2 linked regions of the Arabidopsis thaliana genome follow. The protein of the gene in region 2 interacts with the protein of the main gene of each other region in a pairwise test. Each region holds a gene or a part of one and is shown on either strand. Other genes may lie near its edges.

Evidence for each region.
Region 1: the proteins of AT2G24020 (region 2) and AT1G28135 interact in a two-hybrid assay, tested with the Arabidopsis thaliana proteins (one large-scale study listed by BioGRID).

What each region holds. Positions count from the first base shown.
Region 1 is NC_003070.9:9,821,226-9,837,344, reverse strand, and holds AT1G28135 (uncharacterized protein), read right to left. Parts: upstream 8,085-16,119; 5' UTR 8,014-8,084; coding exon 7,858-8,013; 3' UTR 7,761-7,857; downstream 1-7,760. Other genes in the region: AT1G28150 (uncharacterized protein), read left to right, coding at 1,503-1,574, 1,662-1,778, 2,041-2,223; AT1G28140 (integral membrane family protein), read left to right, coding at 2,955-3,164, 3,322-3,685, 3,763-3,833, 4,000-4,098, 4,218-4,316; GH3.17 (Auxin-responsive GH3 family protein), read right to left, coding at 9,462-10,051, 10,156-10,997, 11,408-11,509, 11,619-11,914.
Region 2 is NC_003071.7:10,207,885-10,225,419, forward strand, and holds AT2G24020 (Putative BCR, YbaB family COG0718), read right to left. Parts: upstream 11,585-17,535; 5' UTR 11,386-11,584; coding exon 11,325-11,385; intron 11,102-11,324; coding exon 10,959-11,101; intron 10,822-10,958; coding exon 10,721-10,821; intron 10,630-10,720; coding exon 10,590-10,629; intron 10,368-10,589; coding exon 10,296-10,367; intron 10,209-10,295; coding exon 10,152-10,208; intron 10,060-10,151; coding exon 9,985-10,059; 3' UTR 9,817-9,984; downstream 1-9,816. Other genes in the region: ENODL11 (early nodulin-like protein 11), read right to left, coding at 1-27; scpl22 (serine carboxypeptidase-like 22), read left to right, coding at 1,591-1,837, 3,822-3,929, 4,095-4,190, 4,659-4,751, 4,936-5,021, 5,104-5,513, 5,707-5,808, 5,906-6,158; scpl23 (serine carboxypeptidase-like 23), read left to right, coding at 6,743-6,986, 7,528-7,572, 8,010-8,117, 8,215-8,310, 8,433-8,525, 8,621-8,709, 8,785-9,266, 9,334-9,439 and 1 more; AT2G24030 (zinc ion binding / nucleic acid binding protein), read right to left, coding at 12,299-13,000, 13,110-13,244, 13,334-13,749, 14,012-14,126; AT2G24040 (Low temperature and salt responsive protein family), read left to right, coding at 16,144-16,233, 16,510-16,647. UniProt on the Arabidopsis thaliana protein: Participates with ALB4 in thylakoid protein targeting. May function with specific subset of thylakoidal proteins. Binds to DNA and alters its conformation. May be involved in regulation of gene expression, nucleoid organization and DNA protection.

The sequences.
Region 1 (16,119 bases), on a different chromosome or scaffold from region 2:
ATATATTTTAAATTATATCATTGTATTTTAATTGTTAGTTATAGGATTTCACCCGTTGTATAACGTGTCGTATTACTATAAACTCAAACCCGTCTGACCATCTAATTCCGTTCAATGAAATTAAACATATTTAATGGATTTCATCCTAGGTATACTGTCTCATATTACTATCAACTCAAACTCGTCCTACCATCTAACCCCGTTCAATAAAATTAAATATTATTTTATTATTTTTGTTTTAATAATACTTTAATTTTAAATATATATAATTCAAATCAATTTCAAACTTTTTATTTTAAATGGTTATTTAATTGTTATAATTTATAAAGTTCATATATTTTAATATTCTAAACCTGTCATACCATCTAATCCCGTTCGGTGAAATTAAACATTATTTTTTTTGTTTTGTTTAAATAATATTTTTATTAAAAGATTTATAATTCAAATAAATTTAAAATGTGTCTTTCAAATAGTTATTTGATTTTTATAAATTTCACATTTAAAATATTTCTCTATATGTAACATATAGTTTTATATTTTATAAATATTATAAACGTTTTATAAACTTTAAATAATTACAATATTTACCTTTTAATAAAGTATAATATTAATAATCATTTAAATAATCATGTGTAGCTAATTTTAAGGAATTTGATTTAAAGTTAGTTGTTTGGATTAAATTTGAATGAATAATGTGATTGATATATTAAATCAAAAATTAAAAATCAAATCAAATAATTAAGGAAAAAAAAAATAATGCCAATGGCATGCCATTGTAAATAAGTGTCAAGTAGAGGATTTATTTGCTAAAATGGTTGCAAAAATGTATATGTAGATATTCTGAAATTTAAATTTAGTTAGTTTTTTTTCTTTCAACTGAAATATATTATATAAAAATTTACACATTTCAATAGAAAAAAATATCTATGAAAACTAAACAAACAAACATATTAAAATCCCCGAAAACAATAACCCTTAGAAAGAAATAATGTTGAAAAAGACATAAAAATACAAACCAATGAAACCATTAGTTTACTTAATCCCGTTAGATGAGCTTCTCTCTTGGAGTTTTGGAACTATTATATAGAAAAGCAAAATTCAGTTACGAATGCGGTTTATGTATAAAAGAAGTCACAAAATATCATCACTGTAATATTATAGATTGTAAACAGAGAAATACAAATATATAATTGTCCGACCTTATGATATACACTACTAAGTACTAACCTACGCAAATAATACCAATTAATCTTCAGCTTATTCGGAAAATTTCGGCTAATTCATGTTAGATACGGACAACGTCGGATTTAACCCAAATCCTCAATGCAAATGCACAATTTTCTGGTTTGTTTCGTTTTTATTTTCTGGTTAAAAAAATTCAGATTAGGTTTGATTAAATTAAAAATAATAAAATAAAGATTGAGAAATCACTGTGGTCTTGGTTCAGTCTTTTGAGATAGAGATAATTTCTGAGCCGAGCCGAGGAAGAAGAAGAAGAAGAGATGGGTTTTGTCTTAATCTGTACTTGTCCTCCGTCCTCGGGTGTCGTCGTCTCTCAGCTTCACCATCACCAGGTCCGTCTTCCTTCTTCGTCTTCTGATTTTGATTTTCTAATTACACAATCTGTTTAACAATTCTCTTTTGTGGGTCACAATTTTCAGTTCTCCGCCGGAGTCAAAAGCAATGAACTTTGGTTTCGTCCGACTCGTAGAACCCTAATTTCGAAATCATCTTGTTTCAATCTCCCTCAAGAACCCATTCTCTCCGAAGCTCTCAAGGTACAATTATATAGATGATGACAAAATTGATTCTTTTTCCGTAATCTGTACTTGGGATGAGTTGTTCCAGATAGCAATTAAGCAATTGATATCCCAATTTTGTGATGTGATTGTGTGTTGTTTGTTGATCAATCTTGGAGGGTTTTTGTCTGTTTGTTTCACATATGTATCCTTAGATAAGTGTTACATTGTTTGTTTTCATATTGGATGGTAGTATTGATGCATCAAATGCTCTCTGTTTCAATGTGGTTTGTTTGTATAGGAGCCAATTGCATTCTTGGGTGGGATGTTTGCTGGACTTCTAAGACTTGATCTAAACGAAGAGCCGCTCAAGGATTGGGTGACGCGAACAGTTGAAGCCTCGGGTATTACAGAAGAAGAAGTTGATGCAGATGGGGTTGTTTCCAATGATGAAGACTCTCCTCAACAGATAGAGATTGAATGAGGTGTCTTGGTTCTGCAGTATTTACCATCTGCAAGGACCTTTTGTATGTAACCCCTGTGTTCTTTATGTAGAAAGAAACAGACTCTCTTATGTATAACTTTTACATTACAGAGGTATGTCATGTCCTTGAGTATGACATTCTTTGCTGGTAGTTGAATCAAGATAGTGATGATCTAAACAGTGCTAGAGTGTTGGAGATCAGTCGAATCAAATCAAGCTAACAAGATGGCTTTTGCATTGAGGCGTAAAATCTGACAAATTATACAACACAAAGATTTTACATTCACTCTGTATCATCCATAGTCTAGTCTCTAAATTTGAGATAGGTATTTGTGTGGCTATAGTGTAGGTCTTACTACTTATTTTTGTTGGTTGAATCTTCAATGAGATTACAATCATTTTTGTGGATAATCAGAGATACTTGTACTGATTACTGAATCCAGGTAAGTCTCTGCATTACGCAAATTTGGAAGAGACCAAATGTACAACTAAAGACAATATCAAAAGATCTTTTTCATAAGAGATATTTCTTAGCTTACTGTTGAATTTTGTCCATGACGATGAAATGATAATAACCACAGATTATTTCAACCAATTCAACCCAACCACGTCATAAGACATTAAGACTCATAACCAAACGACCGCGTTTTGATACCTCTGATCAATCTGGCTCACTAGCAAGCTATGCCAGACCAAACCGGTACGACTTCTGTGAATTCGATTCGTGACTTATGGCCTCGCGTTTGCTATCGACGACGACACTCGTCACACCGCCGGCTTATTTCAACAAATCGCCGGCGTTTTTAACGGCCAGAGTTGGGGTGAGAAGAGGAAGGGCTAACGTTAAGGCTGTGAGCAATAGTTCGCAAGGAGCCGTCGATGGAACCGTTTACAAAGGTGTTTACGGTCCTTGGACCATTGACCAAGCCGATGTCAAAGAGGTCTCTTCTCTTCTCTCCTTACGATTCCTGCCCAATTCACACTTGGGTTCCTCAAAGTTGAATCCTTTTGATAGTTTTAGGCCAATTTGTTCATATTCTCATAGTCATGTAGTTTAGAGGTAGCTCAAGTTGTTGATGAGTACCTTTTTCTCTTCAGGTTATTTTGTACAGATCAGGACTAGTAACTGCTGCTGCATCTTTTGTAGCTGCTTCTTCTGCTGCCTTTTTACCAGGAGACTCTTGGTTAAGTGAAACAATCAAGCAAAACCATGATCTGTTTTACTTTGTTGGTGCTAGTGGTTTGGGGCTATCTCTGTTTCTAATACATATATATGTTACGGAGATTAAGAGGACTCTTCAAGCTTTATGGGCACTTGGTTTTGTTGGTTCTTTCGCTACTTACGCAGCCCTTGCTAGACCAGCTGGTGATAACTTGGTTCATTATGTCGTTGATCATCCATCCGCTGTTTGGTTTGTTGGTCCCCTATTCGCATCTCTCACAGGACTCGTTTTCAAAGAAGGTAAATATCTTGCTTCTGCATAAGGCTTCATATCTTTAACCGTGCCAATGTTCTTGATATGTAATTTCTGTCTGCAGGTCTTTGTTATGGAAAGCTAGAAGCTGGCCTTCTTACATTCATCATACCTTCAGTTCTTCTTGGGCATTTGGTAAAGTACCTTGTTTGATTAAGATATCCTGCTTTAGCTGCCTAGACTCCTGAGATCAAATCTGCTGCGTCGTTTCTCTAAAGAGAAAGCTTCAAATTTCCTTAACTTGGGGGATCTTGGTATTTGTTAAATTGGCCTGACTTAAATTGGTAAATTGAATTTGCAGAGTGGTCTGATGAATGATGAGGTAAAACTGGTGTTGCTAGGAACATGGATGGCTCTCTTTCTAGTATTTGCTGGAAGAAAGTTTACTCAGCCTATTAAGGTACATTGTTCCTCTCTGAAGATAAGCCATGTACAAGCTTTCATAGAGGTCTTTGCTATTTATGAAAGTACCAAAATGTCATAATACTAATCATCTATAATCTTGTTTGGTTTTTGAAGGATGATATCGGAGATAAATCTGTTTTCACGTTCATGTCCCTTTCTGATGATGAAAAGAAGGCTATAGTTGAAAAGCTCGAGCAAGAAAAGTTGGGGTAAGAATCTGAATGATAGTGGAATGTTTTAAGCATCTTCAAGAACAGGTAAATATTTTGTATCCATAGATTCTATTTACCACTGAGGAGAAATGCTACCATAAACACAGTTTGTAGATTGTGATTAGTAGCTTAGAAGTGACAATACAAATGCCATCAAAATGTCCATTCCCTGATTGAGAGTTGGTTGCATCTCATATTTTCTTTTTTGACATTCAAAAAAAAAAAAAAAAAAAAAAAATGGGGCAACCTGGTTCAGTCGGACCCGGATTTGGACCCGGTTTAAAGTCATCCCCTTGTAGTTTTATTTATTTTTGATATTTTGCCCCTCAGTGTGTTTTGATGGGCCAACCTGGCCCGGCTCAATTTGATGCACTGATTAGGCCGGTCCTTATTTAGGCTTGAGTTTTAGGATTTAGTATGGTCTTGTTTGTCTATGGCCCCCATCTTACCTGGAAAGTGCAATGAAAAAAGCGGGATTAGACTTAATCGGGGTCCAATTGTGACAAAATGAAAATGGTCCAGCTCGGGCCGTCCTATCCAGAACCGAGCCTGGCTGTCCGCAAAATTTCAACCCAAAATCCCTAGTTGTGAGTTGTATTTCACCGAGGAAACATGTCCGACCGTGTTACTGTGGTATTAAGATGTCTAAAGTTATGATCCATAAGAACTACAAGGGTAGAAAATTAGAAATCTTGTTACTCCTACAATTATGAACTCAACCAGTCACTTCCGAGTATAACGTACAGATTTTCCGGTCCTCTGGCCTGTTATTAGCCATATTGAAGGAAAGTGACCATGGTTAAAACGAATATCAGTTAAGACGCATGATCCTACAATTAAATGGATATAGGTCTCTTTTCCATGGTAGTCCATGCTATTCATGTGTGTCAAAATAGATTTAGCGTGTTTTTAGGCCAACAATGATTGTGATGTATGCGGGTTTCCGGAATGGAGATAGGAAAATGCTAAGTAAGAGTTGTTAAGTTTGCAAACAACGAGCGTGAAATTAGGAATAAGGTTCTGTCATTGAACGTGAATCGGGACAAGCAATTGAAAGACAGGACACACGAGTGGGGTGTTAAATGCGGTGTTCAGAGTACGACTAATATGGTCGACTCTTAATACTAATATTATGGTCTCACACACACTCTCTCTCTCTCTCTCTCTCTCTCTCTCTCTTCAGTCTTGTTGCTTTCTGTCTCAATCTTCTAGGAGTTTTGTCATTTATTAACATGGCTACAAATTATTCAAAAATACCTAGATTAATATGCATAAGTTGGACGGTCCAATGTAGATACTAGATACATGGCTAAGTTTGACCAAAATGTGACAACTATGAACAATCAATAATTGCTAAGGTTTTTGAGTCTCTACTTCACAAGTTATTGTATATAAGATAAATCTTTCATATAATCTCTACCAAATCTTGCTTGTTTCTTTAGAATTGGAAATAGAGACAAGAAGTTGGATAAGAGAGAAAATGGGGGAGAGAGAGAGATTTATGAAATGAATCCGACCAAAACTGAGAAGGGAAAGAGCAAGTGTTAAAGGAGAGTCCCTACCTCCAATATGAGGACGAGCTCCAAATTGCGTGCGTAGGAAAAAGGAGGAGTCGTGTCTAATGCTGCATCTCTACTCGTGTGTGTTTTGTTTTGTGGGTCTCTCTTCTCTCTCTATCTTTTGTCTCTTCTTTTCATTTCTTGAGTCTCTCCCTAACCTTCTAATTATTAGCTTCTCTTTGTTCCCTCTTGCACTCGTGGCCTTATTCTAGCCTCTCCCTTTACATAACACGGCTCACACACGCTCACATTTCCTTTTCTTTTTTCTACTTTTAAAACGATAGATCAATTTATTAATCTTGAGTTTAACCATTTCTTTGTTTAGCTTGCATGTCGACTTTGTTGCCTTTTTAGTTAATCATTCCACTTTTAGTTGCATCTTTCACGTCTGCTTTGTTTATGATTTGATATTATAATTAGACTTAAGAAAAACTTTAAAACTCTCTTTAGTTTTCTTCTTCTTAGCTTAGTGTGTATTCTCGGCCGCATGTCTATTTAGTTTGTACAAATTTAGTAGTTTTGGATTTGACTCTTGTAGTAATGCAACTACAAACACATTTTACTGCGCATTTGCCGTTTATCAATTCAGGATTTAAATCCAGAGTCATGATACTCTATTTCTTTTTTTTTGGTTTAAATGATACTCTCTTTCTAATATCAACAAACCAAACTTTCAACCATTAGTCTATTAAGGATGCTTTAACTCGAAAAATTAACATGCAGTAAAGTTTTAATGACTCCCAGCTACATTCATAAATTTATTCTCAATCCATGATTCGTTGATTATTAAAACTTTTACAGTTACAAATGTACTTTATTTTGCATGTGAGTATAACAACGTCATATTTAACATCTTCTTTGACTAGTTTTATATGATTTATAGTAGCTAAAAAAAGCTTGATTGAGTTATTATATTACACATGAGTATTGGACTAGTGGTGAGTATTAGACCCCTCCAAAAGAACGCGTAGTCGAGCCTATCCGAAAATTTGATCGAATTCAATTATTTAGTTATAACGAGAACTTACCCCAAAATTTGATCAAATTCGATTATTTAGTTATAACGAGAACAGTTATGAGTTTCGATCTAGAATTCCTTTGATTAACCACCTTGATTAACTATGATAGTGAAATAGTTGTGTTCATCATCTAAACCTTGGGTTTGTTGTGCGACTTATACCTAATTTGTCTATAAAAACTAGCCTTCTATGATGTTTGTTTAACGTAGTTTTTTTTCTACAGAAAAGGACGGGTTACGACTTACGAATGCGGAAATAAAATGTTTATAAACTATTTTTGGAATAGACCACTGTAGATTCACAACGTCTAAGTGTGGTTAGGACTACAAGGCTACAAGCTGATAAAGTCTCAGACACTAACTTTCATGGGGTCTCGCTCTCTAATCAAAACTATTGTGGATAGATTCTTATCGAAGAAAAATGCATTATTCGAATCTGTCATTAAGTTGACAATACGTGTATATATTTCCAGACTTACATGCAATGAACAGTTTTATTTATTTATTTTATATACACTGAAACAGCAGGATTAGATGGGGTTGCAATGGTTTTGTGTTGGTAGCGAGACGAAAACGACAGCGTTTTTGTTCTGGAGAGCGATACGGAAAGTAACATGACAGGACAGTTGAGAGGAAACTCATCGTTTTCTCTTAAGTGAACAGTTAAGTTTGTTCCCTTTTTTCTTTTGCTTTAATATTTGGGGTCATAGATCTGTCTCTTTTACCCCATTTACTCTTTATAGCAACACATCCATCATATCCAACTCTTGTCGGTTACTTACTTCCACATTAACCATGCTTTGCTTTTATTTTACCATGCTTTCAATTCATTTCTTACGATGAATCTAGCTACGAGGGGTGGGTGGGCATATTAGCCACATTACCGTTTTGATTCGATCAAACTTTTGAATATCCGAAACTATGAGTGTGGATTACAAGTTGTTATACAAACAAAAACGCTATCGCTATTCGCTAGATCTAACTTTGGACGAGTGAGCTCTTTCACGCTTCCCTGGTTTTCTTGCCTGAGCCCTGGGTTTAGATTGTCGTGAGACATTTCGGTTCCTATCTACCGTTGGTGTTAAAGGGAGAACTGCGAGGAGCAACGTAATCAACTCCATTGGTTATTTTCCCCGGGAGAACACCTATAGCCCCAATAGAAAAATTGAATTCGGTAGCCAATCTGGTTCAAAATATATTTAACAGTATTGTTATTTAGATCAAAACCTATGTCATCTGTTTTTTTTGTTCATGATAGTTTCAAGAAAAATTTCTACAAATTTAATGTTTTTATAAAAATCAAATCATGGTAATATATCGATTTGTTTTAAAATATATTCATCCAATATCTTAACATAGGTTGTATATTGAAATTTTACGGCTATATATGTATGTCGACAGCCACATTCAAACAGACATTAAATGTAGTAATAGATATACGTTGGTAGTCCTACCAAATACTCATATAGTTAGTATATTTAATTTTAATTATGTCATTAAAACCACAATTTGAAAAGGTAGATTATGATGTGAAAATGAATAGCTGATATAAAGAATTTTGGTTTTTATTTTATATAATAATGATTTCATAAGACCACACATCGTTTATTGTTGTTCGAATATTCTTAAAATTTTATATTCTGCAGTTTACATTACAATACTATTCAGGCACATGGTTTTCTACTAATAATGAGTTAAACCTACTTTGAGCTGAAAACAAATCCAAGACTTGTTAAATGTCAACACTTGGAAGAAATTTGCTCCGAAAATCTTTATAGTTTCCATATTAAACAATGGTTTTGCATATATTAGTGAACTTATATTAAATTCATAACAAAACTTTTTGTGTGGTTTTAATCAACTTCAACACTTATTACATGTACAACTAGTACAAGTAACGATCATTTATATAAATTATTTTCAGGATTTTAGAAGAGAAAAAAGAAAGAAAAGTGAAAACTGTTGACGAGAGATAGAGTTGAGATTTATGCAAGAAAAAAAATAGAAATGATGTAAGAAAGAAATGTGGATCTCAATGATGTTGCTGTGTGTTGGCTGGCATATTAAACCATCACCATCTTCATGTGCATCTATACGTCACTCTTCACCTCTCTATCCAATTATTTCAATCTCCTCATTTTATTTTCATCTTTATCTTATACTAACGTAGATATATTGCAAAAGAGAACTTCGAAAGTTTCTCTTTTATAATATTTTTTCGGTCTTAAAATCTCTGTTTTTATTTTTCAGTTATGTTCGATTTATGTATACAATATGAATATATTACCATTCCTATGAAGAAAAAAAGAGATGAGCTAGATTTTATGTAAAGGGTTTGGTACGATTTTTTTTAATCTTTTCGAAAAAGAGAGGGAGACAAAGAATAATAAAGAAAGAGACACAAAAGTATACATTCACAAAATGAGAGGACTTTGCTGAAAGTTTGTTACAAAAGAGACAAAAGCTTAACAATTAAAAAAAGAAACACCAATTAGCAACTTAACAAATGAAGATCTTATACTTATAAAATCAAGACTTTAATCATACATTAAAGAAAAAGAAGTAAAGTCTAAGAATCTAAACCAAGTGGTTCCCATTGAGGAACTCTCTTACTGAAGAACCTCCCAATAACTCTGGAATCAAGAATCTCAAGAGCTCCTCCAGATTTAACACATCTTGGAGTCTTATACTGATTCAAAGATGATCCTTGTGAGACACAAAAATCCATTAACGAATCAAACGTGCCCAAACTCACCACTCTTATCTCCAATGGCCCAATCGACTTGTCCCTGTTCCTGCATCTCCTGTAGACGTAATCCAAACAATCCTCAACCTCAGAGCAACAATCCTCCATTGTCTTGTCGTCAAGCTTTGGTGGGTCATTGCTGTGACGTGGCTTTAGCTCCCAGAAGAGCACGTAATGCCCTGGGATTGATGACGTGTCTGCGTAGCTTGTGTACTCCGTGAGCAAGAGGCTTGAAGGATGTTGAAGATGGTTTAGTTTAGCTTGTGTCACTGCGTTTAGTAGATCTTCTTCGCTCGTTTTGTCAGTGTCGATGCTTAGTACAACGTTTCTTCGCTGCACGAAACGGAATTGAGGCGCTTTGTTGTGGAAACCCGTCACTTTTAGAATATCGCCTACTCTGTATCTGTACAAACCTATTGACAAAAACATATGTAACAGGTCACTTGTGCTACAAGTTACTATCCGTTTTAGGAATCCACATCAGACCTAGATTGTGTTCGTATAGAGAGTCACTGACCTGTGAATGTAGTGATGACGATTTCGTAGTATTGACCGACTTCGACATTAACAAGATTGACGATGAGATCTTCCTTGAGAGCATCATCATCATCATCGGTGTTGGAGTGAGTTGCAAAGTGAATCTCTTCGTGGGATTTGTCGTCGACGGGCAAGAACTCGAAGTAAGCCATGTTAGGAAGAAGCGTGTAGGAAACATCGGCAGGATCACACAACGGATTAAGGTTGATACCAAAGTAACACTCAGAGGAAGCATACATCGTTGAAACCAACGGTAAACCTCCGCTATAAAACTCTAGTGTCGGAATGTATTGAGCCATCGAACCAGTCACAATCACCTCAACATATTTAGCCTTAGGCCATATCCTCCTCAAGATTCCTTCCCACGACTTTTCAGCGCACTCACTCTCAATTTCATCAGCCAATTCTTGATTTGGGCCATTAAGGATCGACAAGACCGAGTCTCTGCAGGATGAGTCAGTGATCCAGCTAGTGACAGTACCGGTTCTAATGTCAGCGCAAAGCTCTTTGTAATGATCCTCCAAGAACTTGACTGCTCGAAGAAAGGCAGAGGCAAAGACAGCTCCGACTCTTAGGACATGAGATCGCTGTACTAGACCGCAGAGAAGCTGACAGTACATGCTCTGCTTGCTGTCTTGACAAAGAATGGTCTGGTCAGGGCTAGTGTAGACGTTGTACTTGTTGAATGGTCTGTTTCTGAAATGTTGACTTTTGTAGTAGCTGGTCAAAACAGGACGGGCCATTAGACCTGACGGAGTCTTGATCTCTGGTTTTATGAATAGAAGATACATCCCTTTTCCCTCATCTAGCCCATCCACATATCTGCAATTTCAAATATGTAAACACAATCCAATCTATCAAAAAAAAATTCCTTCACTGTTTTAATCTTTTGACTAAAGAAAACAGATATAATTGATTTATTTTTGCCCTCTCATGAGTGTAACTAGGATCCTACATATTCAATCTGCAAGGTGTTTTGTAGCAAAGAGAAGCCAAATATATTTCCTAAATGTTTTAAGCCCAATAAGAGAGCTGGTTACGTATATTGTTTCTGTTGGATGCTACAAAAATTATTATATACTATTGTGTTTTTTATTTTCTTAAGAAATATTTCTGTATTTCTCTTTTTTTTTTTATTTTGGAATGAGAATGAATTTAAGAGATATTAATGCACAAAACAAAAAAATTAATTACGTAAATTAAGATTGAAGTAATAAAAACTCATTTATTACTTGTTCATGATAGGCACAAGCATGCTGTAGAAAAATGTCTTCCTTTCCAATTCTTCAGCTGTAGAAGGCATCAACTTCGGCTTTCCTGCAGAAGTCCCCGAACTGCATCCAATATTAACTCAAAGAAATTACTAATAAGTATAACGAAAATTCTTAAGAGAACAGTATATAACGATAGTTTTTGTAGAATTTGGTGAAAAAATATGTTTACCTAGTGAGGAGTTCTGTGATGGGCTGAGCAGAGACGATATCAGATGATTCTCCATCAGCGATTCGTTGAATGAAAGGCTTTACGTCGTCATAATTCACCACAGGGACTTTGTTTTTGAAGCTTTGTTGATTCTTGTCGGCTTCTCCGTCCAGAAATGCTCGGAGATATTGAGTTCCAGAGTTTTGAGAGAGTATTTGGTGAAGAACTTGTTGTTGGATAGCCTCTGCATTTGTTGTCAGATCCTCGAGAAGCTTGAGACCAGCCTCTGTATCATTTGGGTCGTAACTTGGTATCATTGTCTGAAAGCAGACACAAACAAAGCTTTAAGTTTGTGTTGCAATGATGAGGTACCTTCAACAGAAATAGAGAAAGAAGAGTTTTATTTTATTTTTGTTGTTTAGAGAATCACTTCTTCTCTGTTCTTGAAGGTTGGTTTTTGGTGGTATGAGGAGAAGGATGAGAAATGGTTATATAATAAATTGGCAAATGATGAAATAATTATTAGAAAATATATATTTGGGAGGTCCTACAACACACATGGCCTTGTCTAGTTAGAAAGAAGCTATTGTTGGTCAATATTACCTGTGCAGGCTTTCCCTATAATTTTATATGTTATTTTTTGTTTAATATCATATTTGTTTATATGCTGTTTAATCCTCCAATCAAGCTCTTTCTTTATGATCCGTTGAATAATATCAATCCAATCATATTCACAAGATTTGCATATGTCTGCCAAAAGATATACTCACTTGGTCTTCACTATACTCATCTAATATTGCCTCTTAGCTAGATTTTATTTAGGAACTCGTTGAAACCTTTATGAACTCACATGCAAATTTTTCAAATAAAGTTTATACTAAAAAGAAGTATATGATAGCTTAAGTTAACAAATTCTTTATATATGTGGCTATGGAATTTTCTTTAAGAACTTTTTATATATCCCTTAAATTCATTTGCATATTGTTCTTAAAACCTGTATATTTGCATTGCTGTGAAATACTAAACAACTCTTAGTTATTCAAATTCCATTGACATATATGTTAGTTTAAATCTGCCTATTTATATTAACCTCATTTACATGCGATAATTGGGCTCCATATAGTAATTAAATAATCTCAAGTTTGACTTATGGCAATCAAGATTAAGAGAGAGAAGGATTGTTAAGATTGTTAAATCTCTTGGATATTATAAAGTCATCATCTTGGTGATGCAGATCCAAATGCATATGATAGGGTCGTTACGTTGATATACATATAATATAAATAGACCAATTGACTAACTAACCATAAATGATGATAATTACAACATAAAATAACATGCATCAGCTTAATTCCATCAAGAAAACTTTAAAAGACATGGAACAGTTGAATTAGGTTAATGTATATGTCTTGTGTGACGAGGAAACAGATGTGAACAGAGAGAAAAGAGGCCTGAGAGGGTTTGGAGAAGATGATCTTTTTCTCGTGAACAAATTTCATTCAAATACGCTATGTCATACACTTTAGGCATGTTTCGTCAATTCCTTTGCTTTAGGCTTTTTATATTGCTTAGTTTATTTTGGTTTAGTCATTTAATGATAAAACTAAAATAAATCTTTTCCTTGACAATTAAGTTGATTTAATTAAACATCTCGATTTAGTTATTTTATTCCACGTATTTGTTTATAATTCATGATTATACCATTCTACTAAATAATTAATAATCAATTTAAAATAACATATATATGAAAATAATAGTGATAATTTATCCCAAAAAAATGATGGTGAGAATCTCGTTTCAGATTTATTAAACAAGGGGCTGAAACATCTACCAGATTTTAAACTAGAGTTTTAATTTTCTTTTTGAAACGTAACAACCCAAATCATGTAAATCTTTTTTTTTCTGAAGGGATGTTATATATTCCTTTTGGTCCCTGAAAAAGCATACATAGATTCTCAACCTTACGATAAATCATATATGTCTTATGTTTCACACGTTAATGGTCTTAATCCCATTGATTGTCTTCATTAAATAATATAAAAACATAAAATTTATAGTTTATATATATTTCATATTTTCAAGAAAAGTATTCTGAACTATAGAGTGATAATACTAGTTGAGTATAATTGGATTTTTTAAGCTGCGCAGTTGATAATCCTTGTAAGAATTGTTTTGGAAATAAATTTGAAATATTAAAACTATTTCACTCACACACATGCGAGAGAGAGACTAGTAAAAGTTGGCATATTTCCTTTCACAAATACATAGACCGGTCCACAATGTTTGGGAGAGATACAGGACATGCGCAATCTATAAGACCGACCCATCAACTTTAAAAGACATGCACTCTTTTTGAATATTTTCTAACCTTACTATTTCTGTTTTAAAAGTAATGAATTCTTGAAATGTTGTTTTGTGATAATATTTTCCTGATACGTAACGCCCATATTTTCTTCTATTATGTTATTTTAGGCAAACCATCCGAAATCCTAGTTAGATAAAAAGAACTTTCGCAAAACCTTTGAATGATGTATCATCTGATGTGTTTCATCCTGGTTCGTGGAACAATAAGCCCACATATATTTTGATTGGTCATTCCCGTAAAAGAATTTATTAACAGGATTTTTTTTTAATATATTTTTATATTTTTGTTAAAAGGCTTAAATACTTTTATATTGTTCATCATCTAATTCTTCACTCAAAATATATGTCAACGGGATTCTAAGCATATCCATTGGAAACTACAGTCATGGACTTATGCTAGAAGTTAAAGGATCAAAAGTTGGTTGTAGCATAAGTCATATATATACACCCATAAAAGTATGTTAACAGTTCGAAAGTCAACAATAAACTTAAGCCTAAAACGCTAAGGTTAATATAAGATTCGGGTTTCAAATACAGTATAATTGAAAGGGTTAGTGATAATAATTGGCATACAGTGGTTAAGAACCATATACGTACTGTGAATTTGACGTTTAAATTCGAGACTATATGGTTGACCCAAACAAATCTAGAGACTATGTAGAATATGTTGTAGTTGCTGTTTGAGAGTTTTAAGAGATTGCAACACATGCGGACATGCCACTAGGATACCAAAGTCCTGGATCATGTAACAGCTTAAGTTTTCTATCTAATGTAAACTAATGCATGTTGTTTATATTAAATGTGTTATGTAGTTCATATATTGAAAAATAAGAGAGAATAATAGTGTATACTGTATAGACATGGCAAAGGAAAAAAAAATCAGTAGTGTAATAAGACAAACAAAAAATAGGTCAAAGTTACGAGCTTTGCATTTATTGCTCTTTTGGTGGACTACTTCAAACCAATACGCACAACACAATTACTACTTCTCATGGACTGAGATAACATTTTTAAATTCATATTAAATCGCGCATGACGTGAATTAATTACTACTCCTGAATCACGACAAAACCATAAGAGAAAATAAATTAAAAAGAAAATTTCAGATAAATGGCAATAAGAGAAACAGAAAAAATACAATAAAAATTAGGAATATGATATGAGATTATAATCTAGTAATATGAGTATTGATTTCGATTTACTCAAGTTAAAAAATATTATTCGGTCTATTAACGTAGGGTTACATAAGATTAAAATTTAGAGATTAATTACCGAAACAAGACTTACATGTGAGTCTCACATTTCAAGAGTAGTTAGTTTACCCACAAGTCTCCAAAAATCAAGTGTATAGCTTATATGTTGGATGGTTATAGCTAAATCTGATTTCTAGTGTTCTACTAATTAGGATTTGTGATGTAACATGTGACTTCTGTTGACAAGAAAAATAAGTTAATGATCACAGACTTCATAGTGTTCGAAATATTTGGCAAAGCTAATGACTTGTCAAATTTAAATTACGTATCTTACACACTCAGCTCTTATAAATGATTCAACGTACGTTTGATGTACAAGTGAGACTTTAAATAAATTTGCCAGCTTCCTTGAAGAGAATATAACTTTAATTCTCTCGTTTAGTTAGAACATTTTTTAAAAAAAAATAACGGATTTTGAAAATTAGTGAAAAATAAACTGTGGAATTCCCATATTATTGTTTTTCTTAGTGTTATAACTTGGTCAGTCCAAACAGTATAAATTATTTTTATTTATTTATCTATCTATAGCAATATAAAATCCTTCGTGTGTACATACACCTCAATTAAATTAATTTTAATCACACATTTAACATAACAATTTTTAGCTGACCATAACATGTAAGATGTAGCCTAGTCATTTATACTAGTTGCGTCATTGCATAACAATCCGAGTTTAAATCTAAATCTAGAAAGATATATATATATATATATATATATAATGTTAAATCCATCAAGATTTTCGCATTCTTTACTTATATAGCTTTAATTATTCCTAATATTATACTTATGGAGAGAAATACAAAATCAAAAGTGAAAACTTCTATTGAGTAGGCAAGTAAATGACTGGTGTACCACATAAACAAAGTGGTATGCGTTGCTTGGAATAGAAGAGACTATGATCATAT
Region 2 (17,535 bases):
GGACACAATGCTAATCAAAGACACCATTTTTTTCTCTACTCAAACAAAACTTGCAACCACTTGCCTAGAATTCTTTTTCTCTTTAGACGTGAAAAAGTTTGGCCGTTATGGTTTGGAGCTTAAATGGGTTTTATATAAGGTTTAATAAAGAGGTTGGGAGGATCCGAACCAGATTTGGGGTCAAATTTGGTCTTGTAGAAATGTAATGTAATCTTCCCAATTAGCCAAGTAATTGTCAGTTTCATTATCAGTTGGATTATATTCTTCTTTTTATTAAAAAAAAAATATACTCTTTTTCTTAATTCGAAAGCAAATGAAGATTATATGGTTGATCTATATATCATATCTTTGTAGTAAATTCTTGTATTTTGGAACTAAATCAGGTTTTCAATACAAAATAATTTTTGACATGTAGAACAATTAAACTTGAAGTGTACTCAGTAAATCTAATACAATAAATTAAGGTTCTCCTCAAAGCTCATTTCACCAAAATCTGACATTTGCCACCTAGACAATTGACACGTGTCTTCTTTTCCCTACCTCTCATCTTTTTTTTTCCTTCCTTACCTTTCTAAGAAACTAAATTTTAATATTAAAAACTAAGATATACCATGATCATTTTAAATTAGATAAAATTATTTAATTATTTATCTAATATAGAAAACCATTTTCCAATACTTTTTCTAAGATTTATTTCTATCAGTTGAAGTAAGATATAAACACCAAATTACTAAAATATTTTTTTCCAAAAACAACTCAGTGATTTATTTCTAATTTATACAGTTTTCCTTGTTACTACTAATAGCAAAAAAAAAATTCTTTTGTCAACTAATAGCAATTAATAGTATACAAAGTTTGGACTTCATGTAAGAATCTTACCTAAGGATATGAAAATCTTGATTTCGAATAGTGAAACTGGATCATAGTGTACAACACAATTAAACCGGGTGGATCCAATAAAATAATTTCGGTTCATACGGGATAAGCAAATAATTTTTAATCATATATATTCACACAATACAAAACTAAAGACACTAGATCCAAATACTATTTTAGTAAATATTAGTGAGGATGTCCCAATAGCAACAAATTATTAAAATGATAATTGCGAAAGAAAACCACTATTGTTATTTTAATATTTCACATTATTTAAAATTATCAGTTCAATGGCCATTAAGTTCTTGTGTTTCTTAATCTACATTTATCACTGTTTTCATTGAAAGATATATATAGTTTTCCTTGATGCTAACTAATGGAGTCTATAATTGTAATAATGATACGACACATTATTCATATCTTTGGTACATTAGAAATTACAAAAATCTAAACTGGTCAAAACACTAAGAAAAAGGTAGAGAGGTCATCATTAAGTAATGAATATGACTCAACGAAACACACATTACATGATAGCCTCCAAAACCCCATCCATCCATCCCTATGTCTCTCCCACACATGACACAAAATATATATACATATACATATATTTGTATAAAAATGAGTGGTCGTAACAAGTCATTCTTCATTCTATTGGTCTAACAAAGCCCATTGACGAAAAAGAGAGACAATATTGAAAGAGAGAGAAAACGAGAAATGGCAAGAACCCACTTACTCTTTCTTCTATTTGTGCTCTTATCATTAGCAACATCATCAACATCAACAAAAGAGCAAGAGGAGGACAGGATCAAAGCACTACCAGGGCAACCAAAAGTAGGATTCTCACAATTTTCGGGTTACGTGACAGTGAACGAGTCACATGGCCGATCACTCTTCTACTGGCTCACCGAGTCATCTTCTCATTCTCCTCACACCAAACCACTTCTTCTTTGGCTCAATGGAGGTTGGATTTTTTTTCTCCCCACTTTCCCTCGTATATTTATATTTATACCAAAATATGTTTCGAACACTGAGTCCATATCCAAATGTATCATAGTATTCAAACTCGATCTGGTATAGAATGACAAAAATACTATTTTTGGCAAATCAAAAACAATTTTATTCTGATAATTCTTTAACCAACTAAACCAAAAAAAAAAAACAAAAAAAAAAACAAAGAGTACCAAGTGGTTCTTAGCTTAGTGAAAGTCCGGAAGCTATCGGTCAAAAAGAACCTTGTGTCCTTAATTCGATAATATTTTGGAAAGATTTTCGGCACCTATGAACTCCGGCCACAACTCATCAATTTGCCAAAAACAATGAAAATAAAAATTACTTTCTCTATAATTGATAGTTATAGAGTAATTAAATAAAACATAAGAGACGTAACTATCAAAACAAAGACACCAGAGAAGTTTGTGATACCAAATATATAGAATTTAAAACAATATAAGAAATCATTAGAATGTGTCACTAAGAAATATTACATTCTTAGTATAGCTTATGTTTTTGCAATACGTAAAAATGAAAATAATTCTTATCAACACAAACATATTCCTAAATCCTCGTTAAAAAACATATGTACCCTAGTGATTTGTGTTAGTGTAATTGTTATGTCATCACTTCAATTCAAATCGGCGATGTACTGAAATAAAATCGTCATCAAATAAAAAATGGAAGACGTCAAATCTCATTAACATGTTACATGATTATTCTTAAATAGACTAACTAAAAGTAAAATATCAAAAATACCTATATCAACACTTTATGTTTTATCATTATTTAAAGCAAATCAATGTCCACCAAAACAGCATCAACAATCCAATATGACTCTAATAAGTGAAACATGCAATTGTTGTTATAAAAACAAACAAAAAGAAACATGCACTTTTTTTTTTAGTTTTTATGTTGTTTTATATATGAAAAATTCCAATCTTGCGTGCATTTGAGCAAATGTCCACTTCCTCACTAAAATAATCCGTACGGAATAATAATTGGAATATGCTCTTCGGCTACAAAACCTCATCATTCAAAGAATGTGCATGACAAGTTGACAACGACATGAAAACATGGATATACTATCTTTTTCGTATATACTAAAATTTAAACGGACAGAAAACTAAAGCAAATGTAGCCAACCTTTATATTACTTGCTAAACCAATAGTAATAAAGAAAAAACAAGAACAATTAAATTGGACAATAGTTTATTTGACTAATAAAATGAAGTTATTAGTCAAATCATAGGCTATGATCATTAAAAAGAATAATTGGTGATCCAAAGCGGTTGCTTAGCCTGTTTGTCCTTTAGGATAGGCCTGGAAACATGCCTATATACTCTTGAGATTAGTTGGAAATTTTGGCAAAGCTAGAATAAGTTAAGATTGGGGTAAAGAAAAACTAAATTAAGGAAGAACATAAATAGTTTCTTCTAATCATTGAAATAATAATAAAAAGAATTATTAACTAAACAAAAGCCGGCATGATGTATGAAAACTTAAAAGTAGAGTCATTTGATCAAAGATCCTTGTTACATATAATCCATTCTCATCTCAGGACCACAAAACAAAGAAAGCAAAGGCATGATTGGCCAAACATCTATATAAGTATATCTCTAACCCTCTGATCACTTTCAGACATCAACTTTTCAATTATTTTTCTTTCTCTTCTTGACATTTGATAAGAATGCATGACAGAAACATACATATATGGCCGTCTTTTGATAAACCAATTACATCAGTCGAGTACATATCAAAATGAGACAGAAAATTGAAAACATACAATTGCTTCTTTATCCAAAATAATGTTACATGTATATAATAAAAATATTTGACCTTTTAAGTTATATTGTATTTATTAATGATAAAAGAAAATTTATAAGGGATTCTATATGAAAAACAAATAACAATTTTTGTGTATATATGATCATACATGTAATTAAACTATGCAGGACCAGGCTGCTCGTCGATTGCTTATGGAGCTTCGGAGGAAATTGGACCATTTCGGATCAGCAAAACCGGTTGCAATCTTTATCTCAACAACTTTTCTTGGAACACAGGTACTCACTAAGTTAATTTTCGACATGCTTCAAGTTAGTTCTTTATTTGTGGAGTCACTATGTTTCACAACTCCAACTATCAAAATTAGTTGTATGGAAAACTGTTTCTATATACTTAATACTTTGTAATTAAGTTATATAACATTTTTGAATGTGTAATAACAGAGGCAAACCTTTTATTTCTTGAATCGCCTGTTGGTGTTGGATTTTCATATACTAACACAAGCTCGGATTTTGAAGAATCCGGAGACGAACGTACAGGTCAGATTTTTTTCATCTAAATATATATATATAAAAAGAAATATTCTATCTCTCAAGATTCTACATAAAAAATATGAAAAGATCAACTCTAATATAGAAATTCAATTATTCTTCGCATATAGTAACAACCTCTAGTACCATCCAAATGGATATTACCGATGAACCAGAAGATTTATTATTATCTTAAGAAATATGTTTAGACCCCACATCAATAATCTGATGGCACCAAACTCATAATTCCTTAGTGTCAATTTGTTAACCTCATGGCCTATGTTAGCAATCGATTTTCTATGGATTTGACTACTAAAATTTCACATGAAGATTATAATTCTCAATATGAGTCTTGACATTAACCAGCATTGCAAATATACATAAGACTATAAAATTTAATAATTACAATTCAGTTCTTTTTTGTTTTTGTTCTTTTTAAGAGAAACTAATTAATTAATAGTGTAATTGTGTATGCAGCTCAGGAAAATTTGATATTTCTTATAAGTTGGATGTCAAGATTTCCTCAGTACCGGTATAGAGATTTCTACATTGTTGGTGAAAGCTACGCCGGTATGTCACCATGCATATATGATATATAACAATAAAATACATACTCTTAGAGCAAATTAGATTTTATATGGTTTAATGGTTTTTAGTTAATCTTGTTTAACAAAAAACAAACCAAGATTCATGTCTTTCTTACCTGATTTAACCAAAACTGTCAATATGTATATATTAACGTCTACTTTTACAGGTCATTATGTTCCTCAGCTCGCCCAAAAAATTCATGAGTACAACAACGCCTACAAAAATCCAGTAATCAATCTTAAAGGTTTCATGGTAAGAACTAAGTAAGGTCTATTTATCACATTTCCAAAACTATTACTCCATATTCATATATGTCCCTAATATCTCCTTGAAGGTTGGTAACCCAGAGATGGACAAAAACAACGACAGACTAGGGACGATAACGTATTGGTGGTCTCACGCGATGATCTCGGACGCTTCCTACAATCGCATCCTCAAAAACTGTGATTTTACAGCGGATAGATTCTCCAAAGAATGCGATTCCGCCATTTATGTCGCTGCTGCCGACTTTGGCGACATCGATCAGTACAGCATCTACACACCCAAGTGTGTACCACCACAAGACCAAACGAACCAGACCAAGTTTGAGCAGATGATGCAAATGCACACAACTAAAAGGTTTTTAGAAGATCAGTATGACCCTTGTACCGAAAACTATGCCGAGATATATTATAACCGTCCTGAGGTACAACGAGCTATGCATGCTAACCACACTGCCATTCCATATAAGTGGACTGCTTGCAGGTATTCCCACTGCTCATCTACATTGAAACTCTTGAACCACTGTTATTCATCACATGTTCATAACTTTATTCTAACGTATACTACAAGAAACTCTTGAACCAAATTGTAACCAAACTAACGACTCTAGGTCAAACTTCAGTTATAAAATTATTAAAAACCAGGCAATTTTTTTTGTTCTCTCTGTTTGTTACAGTGACTCTGTCTTTAATAACTGGAATTGGAGAGATTCCGACAATTCAATGTTACCGATATATAAGGAACTCATTGCTGCTGGTCTAAGAATCTGGGTCTACAGGTACACTATGTTTCAGTATATTAACCTAGACACCTAGTTATAAAAGATCATGATAGCAACACATATTTTGGTCATTAAATCACATTTCTCCATGCAGTGGTGATACAGATTCGGTAATTCCAGTGACAGCGACTCGATATTCCCTTGGCAAACTGAATCTTCGAGTGAAAACTCGCTGGTACCCTTGGTACTCCGGAAACCAGGTAGGAGGACGAACAGAAGTATACGAGGGGCTTACCTTTGTGACGGTAAGAGGGGCGGGGCACGAGGTGCCATTCTTCCAACCGCAAAGTGCGCTTATTCTTTTAAGATCATTCTTGGCTGGAAATGAGCTTTCAAGATCTTATTAGTGAATAGTGACCCAACATTTGTAGCTCCACTGGTGTACTAAGGCACCTTCAAAACGAAGTGTTCCTCAAGGTACGAATCTGAATGATGTTGGGGAGGTGATTAATGTTGGCAACTGACTGAAAAATTTATTGGCCAATGGGCTGAATCCTCTTTTTTTAAGAAACAAAATTCAAAACCCTTACAAAAAGGAGAAAACAGAGTCCTTGATTTCTTTAGGGTTCTTTAGGACTTCTTTAGGCCAATATTTTTTTTTTTCATAATCTTTCATTTCAATCAGCAAATCCCTAAATGTGGTCTATGATGGCTTCTGACAATTAATTTTACTGTCAAAGCTACAATTGGTCTACCCGAAGCATCTAATGGTAGCTTTGACCGTAAAATTAAGAGAGAACATACGACTAACAAAGTTTTAAAAGTTATCATGCGATCAATTGTCAAAAGAGAGGGTCCACATTGTGTAAAAGAAACCGATATCTTTCTTACATGCATATATATAAAAGTAAATTTATTAGTGGTACCAACACATCCTCCTCCATTCCAACCCATTGAAGAAAAAGCAGAGACTATAGTGAAAGACAGAGAAATGGCAAGAATCCACTTAATCATTATACTACTAGTGATTTCATCGACATCATCATCATCATCATCATTAAGAGAGCAAGAGGAGGACATGATCAAGGCACTTCCAGGGCAACCGCAAGTAGGATTCTCACAGTTTTCGGGTTATGTGACTGTGAACGAGTCACATGGTCGATCACTTTTCTACTGGCTTACAGAGTCCCCTTCTTCTTCTCACACCAAACCACTTCTTCTTTGGCTCAATGGAGGTTAGATTACATTCTTTAATTCTTTTGTCTCCCCACTTCCGCTCATATATGTGCACACATGCATTTCTCTTTTATATCTTCATAATAACTCCAAATTAAACTATCTGAAAAAACGCCAAAAATAAATAAATAATAATAATCTCAATTTAATATAATTTGCAGAAAATATCGATAGATTTTTGCAACAAAATTTGTAAAACGTTAAGGAAATGTAAACGTAAACAATTGCAATAAAACAAGTCGCTGTTCTATGCTCGGTCCTAGTAATAGCATAAAACGGTAATGGTTATTCATTGGTCAGAGAGCGAGTAATTATTTTTGTCCTGCTTTAACTTATTAATTAACCAATCCCCAATTGGTTACAATATGGTACACCCTTTACCAATGATAAGGGAATATCAATAATCTTAACGATTAGACTCGAAAAAAAAAAGAGAAAAAAAACAAACATTATTTTTGTATATACCTACATAAAATATTAATCAAAAGAAAAAGAAAAGAAAGTGAAATCCACTAACATTACTTTTTTGAATCTATTAAGTTTTTAAACCAACAAAACCTACCCTGAGTTTCATATTATGTAATCGTAAAAATTTCAATCATTAATATAAATGTGGATGAAACAAATCGGTGTCCACCAAAAGAACATCAACAACCCAATATGATTCTCATAAATGAAACATGCAACCTCCTTTATAATCATCATTTTACTTCTTTTTTTCTTGTTATAATTTTTATTTATATAAATGTTTATTCGAAAGATTAAACATTATATAATCTCCTTGAGTTTTGGAGTTCGTACTCTTGCCAGTTGCCACCTACTTCCAGTCTTCCACAATTCATTTTCCAGCGTGCACTTTAGCAGCAGTGCCCATTTCTCACTAATATATGCCTAGTTAAAGCTAAAGGAAGAACTGGAATGTGAATGTGAATGATAAATAAAATAGCAAAAAAATAATGTTCTAATGACACTAGATTTTAATAAAATTACGTCTTCAATAATACGAAAACATAAAATCGCAGGACCGGGTTGCTCATCGATTGGTTATGGAGCTTCGGAGGAAATTGGACCGTTTCGGATCAATAAAACCGGTTCTAATCTCTATCTCAACAAGTTTACGTGGAACACAGGTTAATATTTTTTCTTTATAGTTTCATTTGTTCTGGAGTCACATCGTTCGTTATACAACAATGAAGTTTGTTTGAATCTTTTATTTGTAATGAATAGAAGCGAATATTTTGTTTCTTGAATCGCCGGCTGGAGTTGGATTTTCGTACACTAACACAAGCTCTGATCTTAAAGATTCTGGGGACGAACGGACTGGTCAGTTTCTTATATTTTATCAAACATTATTTGTTATCAAGGTAATAGTTTAGGATACACTTTTGTTAACAATGAAATTACATTATTAATTTTAATATGTTGACATATAATTGAATCTGCAGCTCAGGAAAATTTGATATTTCTAATTAAATGGATGTCGAGATTTCCTCAGTACCAATATAGAGATTTCTACATTGTTGGTGAAAGCTACGCTGGTATGTCACTCTTGAAGCAAGTCAGAATTAATATGGTTTTTATTTAAGTCATTTTCTAGACCATAGACTTATTTTCATGTCTATATCTTTTATAGGTCATTATGTTCCTCAGCTTGCCAAAAAGATCCATCTCTACAACAAAGCTTTCAACAATACACCCATCATTAACCTCAAAGGATTCATGGTAAAACTACGGTTCTATTTATCACATTTCCGAAACCTTAATCCCTCCTTAATGCATATATATTCTTTTGCACAGGTGGGAAATGGAGATATGGACAAGCATTACGACAGATTAGGAGCCGCCATGTATGCGTGGTCACACGCAATGATCTCTGACAAAACTTACAAGTCTATCCTCAAACACTGCAGCTTCACTGCGGATAAAACCTCGGACAAGTGCAATTGGGCACTCTACTTCGCCTACAGAGAGTTTGGCAAAGTCAATGGGTACAGCATCTACTCACCCTCATGTGTACATCAAACCAACCAGACCAAGTTCCTGCATGGACGGCTTTTGGTAGAGGAATACGAGTACGACCCTTGTACCGAAAGCTACGCTGAGATATATTACAACCGTCCTGATGTGCAACGAGCTATGCACGCTAATCTTACCTCCATTCCTTATAAGTGGACATTGTGCAATATGGTTGTGAATAACAACTGGAAAGATTCCGAGTTTTCAATGTTGCCGATATACAAGGAACTCACTGCCGCTGGTTTGAGGATCTGGGTCTTTAGGTAAACCATGAAACTAGCTGCAAGTAAAGTACCTTTCGTGTCCTTTAACCACATTTTGTTGATGTAGTGGCGATACAGACGCAGTGGTTCCAGTGACTGGGACTCGACTTGCCCTCAGTAAACTCAATCTTCCGGTGAAAACTCCCTGGTACCCTTGGTACTCCGAAAAGCAGGTAATTTTCATCAAATTCGTGGTTCTATTCTTATTATGCAGAGCTAGTGATTTCTCATGGTGGTGGTGTCAGGTGGGAGGATGGACAGAGGTATATGAGGGGCTTACCTTTGCGACGATAAGAGGGGCGGGCCACGAAGTGCCGGTGTTGCAACCCGAGCGTGCTCTCACTCTTTTAAGATCGTTCTTGGCCGGCAAAGAGCTTCCAAGATCTTATTAGTCACACACATAAGATAGAAGGCTCCCTCCAAAACCCGAGTTAACTCGGTGTTTTCTTTTGAAATTTTTATGTTTCAAATCAACTTGATTTCATAAGACACTAAAAGCATTCTTGTATTCGAAGAAGATATATGTTGATACTAGAACAATTGTGTTGATACCTTGGGAATAAAATTGCAGAAAACCAAAAGTTTCAAATCTTTTATATATAATTCCATAAGAGTAGAGTACAAAGCTCTTTGCTTCTGCCTGACTGATATACAAACAAACAAAAAAAGCCGAACCTCTCATACCTGAAAGTTGAAATGAAACAACAAAAACAGCTTCTTACTTCATTCCTTCGCTGAGACCCGGTGGCATTCCTAAGCTCTGCGCAAGGTCACTCATTCTCTCTTTCATAGCCTGTGAAAAAATTCACAAAGTTCAATTAGAAGAAATGGATAGAAACAAATACTTTAGTTGCATTGTGATAAATGGTCTGCAAATTGCTATACCACCACACTCTTGGCGTGTGCGTCCTTGTATGCTTCTGTGACAAGTTGTGATAGTTTCTGCCAAAGGAAAACACACAACATCAACAAGAGAAACTGATGAATTAGCTTTGACTGTTCCATAACAAGGTACGTATGGTTACTCACTTCGGAACCTAGTTCCATTGCTGCCTCGGTAATATCAGTACGGATTGGTTGCTGGTTACCTGATAACGTAACCTGACACAAATTCATAAGGTTTAGGTCATCAGACTTTGTAACAGAAACAATAAAGACTAAACAAAGTTTTGAGATTCTAGAGTGGAGTTCTTGCCAAATCATCCAAAGACTAACAAATCAGAAAACACAGTTCTTACATCATCAAGTAAACGTTAGTTAATACTTCACTGATCTATTATGTGCATTGATCTATCTTAAGGCCAAAACAAGCTCTAAACTGACCTTGACAAGCTCGCCTGCACAATAACCATCAAATTCTGCGCTGCGAAATTGGAACAAAACCAACATGCAAAACTCATTACTCATAGAAGAAAACTTCCTCAAATTTTGTATGATAAATGTGCCGGACTTACGCAGCTAACTCTTTTTGAACACGTACAGCTTCCACTTGAACAACCATTTGAGCTTTCTTCACAGTCTCATACATATTCTGCATATTACCAAATATTCCTGCCTAGGAAAGATCACACACAAACTTCATTAGTTCCAAAATCATAAACTTTGAATCTTTACAACATGAAGCCTAACTTAAAATGTTCACCTATTGCAGAATCTGTTTGATATTTGAAAAAACCAATGTAATGTACCAACCTTTGATTGTCCATCTTCACTGTTATTATCTTTGTTTCCACCTCCAAATAATCCATTCACTCGAAGAGACCTGTAACCATTTTTAGACTTGTACTGCTTTGGCCATGTTCTTCTCTGCGAATTCAAGCTCGCATTTCCTGAAACTATTCAAACCAAAAAATTACTAAAGCCCATTTCAATCCCAAAAACACTTATAAATACAAAATTACGCTTCAATTCCTCCAATTATGGAATAGAAAAGTCTAATTACGAAAGATTAAGCAAATTCAGATGAAACCTAATGTACGACAGATACATAAAGACTCAAAATCCAGTGTCACGAAACCTTAAGCGAGAGATAGAAGTAGGGATTTAGGAGAGACTAACCATGAGAGAATGGAAAGAGCATAGATTTGGTGAAATTGGTGGTTGCAGCCATCGACGCCATTGTTGTACGAGTAGAGAGATATTAGAGAAGGGCTTTTTTTCTGAAATTCGAGAAGATAAAACCGGAAGCTAATTTTTTCCGGGCAACTTGTTCGTAGCTTCTGTGTTTGTTGAAGCTTTTAACCAATGATTTTGCGCCACGTCACTTTAACTCTTTTTTTGAGCTTAGATTGTTTTTGTACCATTCTTTTCTAGTGAAGAAGTCGCAACTTTAAAGTTTATACACTTTCAGTACGAAATTGAGTGATCAAACGTAAAATGTTCTTACATCAGATATTGATTCGATTTTCGAAAAATTCAATTTCTAGTATAGATGAAACTTTATCAGAGATTGTAACATGCTTCATTAAACCAAAAAAAAAAAAAAACATGCTACAATAGAACCATCTTTCGTGGTTCTATGTATGGGACATGGTCATATGTGTTGTGGTCTTGTGGAGCTGTATTGCGAGAAGAACTATTGATTGATTGTGGAGTTGTCTATATACCCTCTATGTATAGAGAGACTCACCCCAAACATTTGAAATACCTCTAGGCAAACCATTTTGGGCCTCTCCTGAAAGAAGACATTTATCATCGTATCATGTCCAAACAAACATACTCTGCTTGTACAGTTGTAAGTTTGTAAAACATATGATAAAAGCATAAGACAACACACACTCCAAAATGCAATCATGATCTATACACTTATTCTGGTCTCTCTAATGGCATTGGTTATTATTCTCATGATTCTCAATCTCACAACAAAAAAAACATCATGCAAATCTCCTACTGTCACATTGCATAAGAAAAAATAAAAATAAATTCATGAATTCAATCTCTGATTCCTCATGGTATATTGTCATGACCTAACAAAGGTTTTTTTGGTAAAAAAAGTTGATATAAAATAATCTAACAAAGTTACAAAGAATCTTCTATGACTTCTCCAAGCAATGAACCTTACCTTGTGTATCATCCATTGCTAGAGATACTGATTCTTTCTGTCCTGGATCAGCATTCAGAGATCTCACTGGGACTGTAATGAGTTTATTCTGCTGTTTCTCAAGCAAAGCCATGTGTTTTTTCCCAAGCGTATGATTCCTCATCGTCTGCTCAGAATTCGTCTGAATATTACAAGTTTTGCACCAAACCGTTTCCTTCTTTTTCTTCTCACCTTTTGTCTTCTTTCCCGTTGTTTCTTTCGCCGCAATTTCATCTACTTTTTGACCCTGCGGATTAGCATTTTCACATACTCTAATGGCTTCTGGTTGCGGTGCTGTAACGGAAGCAGGGGATAAGGAGGTTGAAGCAGCTTCAGGTGTCTCATTCTGTTGTGTAACAGCAGCCTTATGCTTTTTACCTAACTCATGATCCCTCATGACTATTTGACAATAGGTCCCAACTTTACAAATCTCACACCAAAACTTCTGGTTAGTTCTTAGCTTACCTTCTGCTTTCTTTCCACTGCCAAGTTTCCCTGAACAAGGAACCTTCGAAGAGACTATTTCTCCGGTTTCCAAAGACATCGCCTTTGCTTCTGATTCTTTTGCTTTCGGCCTTTTCACTTGAAGATCTTCGTTCAAACCAGTTTGAATATCCTCTGCTTTACGCTTTTCTCCTACAGGATCAGCTCTAGCCTGCAATAGTAATCAAAGAGAACACATATGGTCAGGATTTGTTATAAGCAAGTAAGGAAAGTACGTGGATAGAAAAGATGAGATATCACACTCGTAGTAAAACACTTACCAATACAATAAACTGCTCTTTGTTAGACTCCAAAACTGATGTTCCTGTAGCCTCAGGCATTTGCTGAAGTTTAGGCAATTGCATGGTACCAACACTGTCTGCTTTAGGCTTAGCTCCTATAATATCAGCTCTATTCTGCAATAGAGAAATCAAAGAGAACACATATGAAACAAAGGCTTATATATACTCTATCATTTATGTTTACCATTACTTAAAGAACTCACCAATACAATCAAATTCTCTTTATTAGACTCCAACATTGATGTTCCGGTAGCTTCAGACATTTGCTGAAGTTGAGGCAATTGCATCATTGGTGATGTAAGTAGACTGTTGTAAGAGCCTGTGTTGATCAGAGAATCAATGTAACTATACTTCTGTCTGAAAAAGTTGTTGAACTGATTCTGATTTTGATTTGGAAGCTTCCTTTGATTGATCCACATAGTTAGCTTTTCCTCTAGAGACATCTCCGTGTCTGAAACTCGTCGTATCGCCATTTCTCTCTCGATAGCCATCTCTTGTAAAACCTCAGCTATAAGCTCTCGTTTTCTCGCTGCTTCTGCGATAATGATCTCTTGACGGATTTGTTCTTTCTCAATTTCTCGTTTGATCGCTTCCCGAACTTGATCCTCACTTTGTTGTCCTACGAAAAAGGTTCATAATCACTTCACATTTCGACATGAGAAGATTCATAAACTTCAGATTTTTCACACAGATTTCAATTTCGTGAAATCAAAACATGAAAAAACAAACACTCAAAATTTACGTTACAGAAACTAAACAGGTCTCAACAAATCAACTCCTATAGACAATCGCATCACCAAACAAAATACGAAAAGTGCAGAATCATAACAATGTTCTCTGTCGGGGATGGATAAAAAATACGATGCACAGACAGTACAAACCTGGCATTGATCGTTCCGACAAGAAAGGAAAGTTCGGTTTCAGCGACGGAGATGGTGTCGTGTCCGTCGCAGGAGGTGGGCGATTATTATCGATGGCTCTGTATCTGAATTCCATCGAATTCAAAATTTGGAGAGAGAGCGGAGAAAGAGGGTTATCGTTTGTAATCGCTTTTACCTTCTGGTCGGTCACTTTTCTTAAATAACAGGGATAGCTTTTTTTTTTCTGTTTTTTCCCTTTTTTCTTTCACTGTTGTGAATCTTGTGATAATATCAAGAGATTTTTTAAAAACAATATGGAATTTAATCATATGCAATACTTAGCAAATTTGGTTACTAATTTATTAGAGATTTGACCTGTGATAAGATTTAAATATATTTCTATTTTCCTTAAAAACTTGTTTTATTGAAAATTTTAAATTACATTATGTGATCAATCTTTGACGGATTTTTCTATATAAAATTACAAATTTATTAGGGATTTGATTTGTGTAGTGGCGTTTCAAACAAAAATTTAAAATAAATGTATTTTAGATTAAAAAAATTATGTTAAAGGGAGTTTTAATATTTTAAGAGATTACAATTATTACATTATATGCGTGTTCAATTTTTGGCGGATTTCTCTATGTAAAGTTACTAATTTACTAGGGATTTGGTTTATGTGGAACCAAAAACAAGTTTTAAATTTTAGTCAATGTATTGTAGATGGTAATTATGCTAATATTTTTTTTAATCTTTCAAGGGCTTTAATCAAATTCAAAAACTTTGTTCAATCTTTATCTTTTTGTAACTTTGTAGAGGTTTGACCCGCATTATTCAAATTCAAACAGATTCTTAAAACAAAATCTTACAAAAATTCTATACTTTGAAACATTCAACCAAATTTTAAAATCGTGTTCAACTTTCGATTTGTCTATATAAGATTACTAACTTACTAGGGATTTGACTTGTGAAGTGAGAATTTCAAACGATTTTTAAAATTTAGGTTAATGTATTTTAGGTGGTTGAACAATTATCTTTAATTTATGGAGATGATTTTCTGCCTACCAATATATCACCGATTAAAATTCTCACATATGATTACTATTAAGCTAAGCGGCAAAATCATTGGCGTCCCGAAAAAAGTAGTATTCTCTCTGTTTCATAAGTTTGGTATTGTAGGTTTTTTACACAAATTAAAAAAGGTATTTTTTATACTTTTTGATTATTATTTTGTCTTGTTTAATAATATTAATTCTATTTCTCTGTTTTCTCTATTAATCACAGCTAAAAGTAATAATAATGTTATACAAACCATCAATTTTTTGTGAAAAAAAACCTACAACATCAAACTTCATGCAACAGAAGAAATATATAATAAGTTCTAGCGATTAGTTCAAGCCGCTTAACTCGCATCATAACAATGACATATTTTCATTTTAAACTCAGTTAATAATGATTGGAGTGTCCTATATTCTTTAAAAAGTGTAGTATGTCTTTTCATATTCGAACAACTAGGGTGTTATTCGTTTTATTATTTGAATGGTGCATCTCGATTATGCATCCAAATATTGTAATCTAGAGGATGCTTCCGGCTGTTGTTTGTTTATATATTTGGTTCTTCATATGGATTCCCTATCTTGATGTAACTTTGTTTGTTTTTCTTTTGTATTTGTTAATTTACATTCACATCGATGTATTTAATATCAAAATGACTAAATTGTGCATGTGTTAAATTTAATGATATCTTAATAATCTTAACTGTATTTACAACTAAAAAAATTTCAAATTTTTCTTGGCACAATTATAATCCAAGATAATGCAATGTAGCTCATCTAGTAATATCATTTATCAGCTGGAATGAGATTAAATAATGAAAGAGTATGGTAAGTGAAGCCATACCAAAGCTCCCGTGAGTCAACCAATAAACAGACGTCATACGTCAATACCCAAAAAGATATCAACAACGAACCGTAGGATATAATAAATCCCGCAAAATAAACGGTTAAAGATCTCGCGGTACACTCTGTATCTTAATTATTAAGATTCACGTCGCTGGACACAACACCTACTATATTTGTGGTTGTTTGTTTCGTGAAGCTTCTCTCTTCTTCTCTTTTTCAAGTCATCAAATCTGATCTAATCTCCGTAAATTAATGGCGAGTAGTTGCGAGCTTTGCTGCGAGATCTTCATCGCAATTCTTCTTCCTCCTGTCGGAGTTTGTCTCAGGCATGGCTGTTGCACTGTAAGTTTCATCTCTCTCTATCGATCTCTGAACTTTCACAGCTTCTTATTTCAGAAATCGAAACCGTAGTTGAAATTGAATTGATTACGGTTATTTAAATTGAAATTGGTTGCACTCCGGTTTACGGGAACCAATCAATATGATGAATGTGGAGATCAATTACTGAAAATATAATTGTGGTGTTTTTGTTAAAAAGAAACACTAATTAAGGGACTAAAAAATAAAATTTTTAAATTTTGTTTTTCCTAACTCATGTTTTTTTGGTTTAACTTGTAGGTTGAGTTCTTCATTTGTTTGATACTGACTTGCTTAGGCTACTTACCAGGAATAATATACGCAATTTACGCAATTTGTTTCTTGCACCGCGATGAGTATTTTGATGAATACAGACGCCCAATCTACTATGTTGCTTGACCTCTTGATTGATTCTTGCTCTTGAGCACACATATTGTACTTTAAAGTGTAATTTACTTGTATCCTGGAGATAATAATACCATTTTTTTTTAAGACACAGGTATTGTGGTTTATTTTACTATATACTTTGATGAATGATGAATGCATAATGCCCAATTACTATTTGCCTATGGAGCCCTCATATTAAAGGTCAGTATCTATCGCGCTATGATACAGCTAAAGAAATTAGCTCAGCAGTCACTGAAGTGGAAGAGGAAAAAGAAAACACTGTTTTTTCTCTGAACAGTGAAGAAGACAAAGACACTTGGTGAAGAAACAGAGACTGACAGTGATTCTGAATTCAAGATGACTAAGACGACAATACCAAAAACAGGAAGAAAAGTTTAAAACCATTGTTAGCTATTGCATCACTTGAAGACTTCACACTTCTTTTCTCTTCTTTCCTGTTTTGCTTTGCTAAGTTGTTTCCAGGAAAGAAGAAAGAAGAAGTTGTGGAGTCTTTTGATGAAGATAGTGACAGTGATTACTATATTTACCCTAGTCCATTCGATATTGAAGAGAATTCCAACAGTGAGGAATACAATCAAATCTTCATTGTTATATGTTACCCTAGTCCTAATACATACTATATTTATATAATGGTAGTACCATACTTACCATTACCCTGAGTGAGTTTCAACGATGATTGAAATTGAATTAAGGCATCCCACAATTAATTAGATTATTAATGTCAAAGACAAAAATTGTGTAGGCACTAAGAATAAGATAACAATCAACAAATTGTGTTTTTTTTTCTCCTCACCCTGAAATGTTCAAAACTCAAGATGAACGAAAAAAACAAAGATGTAACAAAACTGAACCAAATCTTCCAAGTATGTGATATTAACT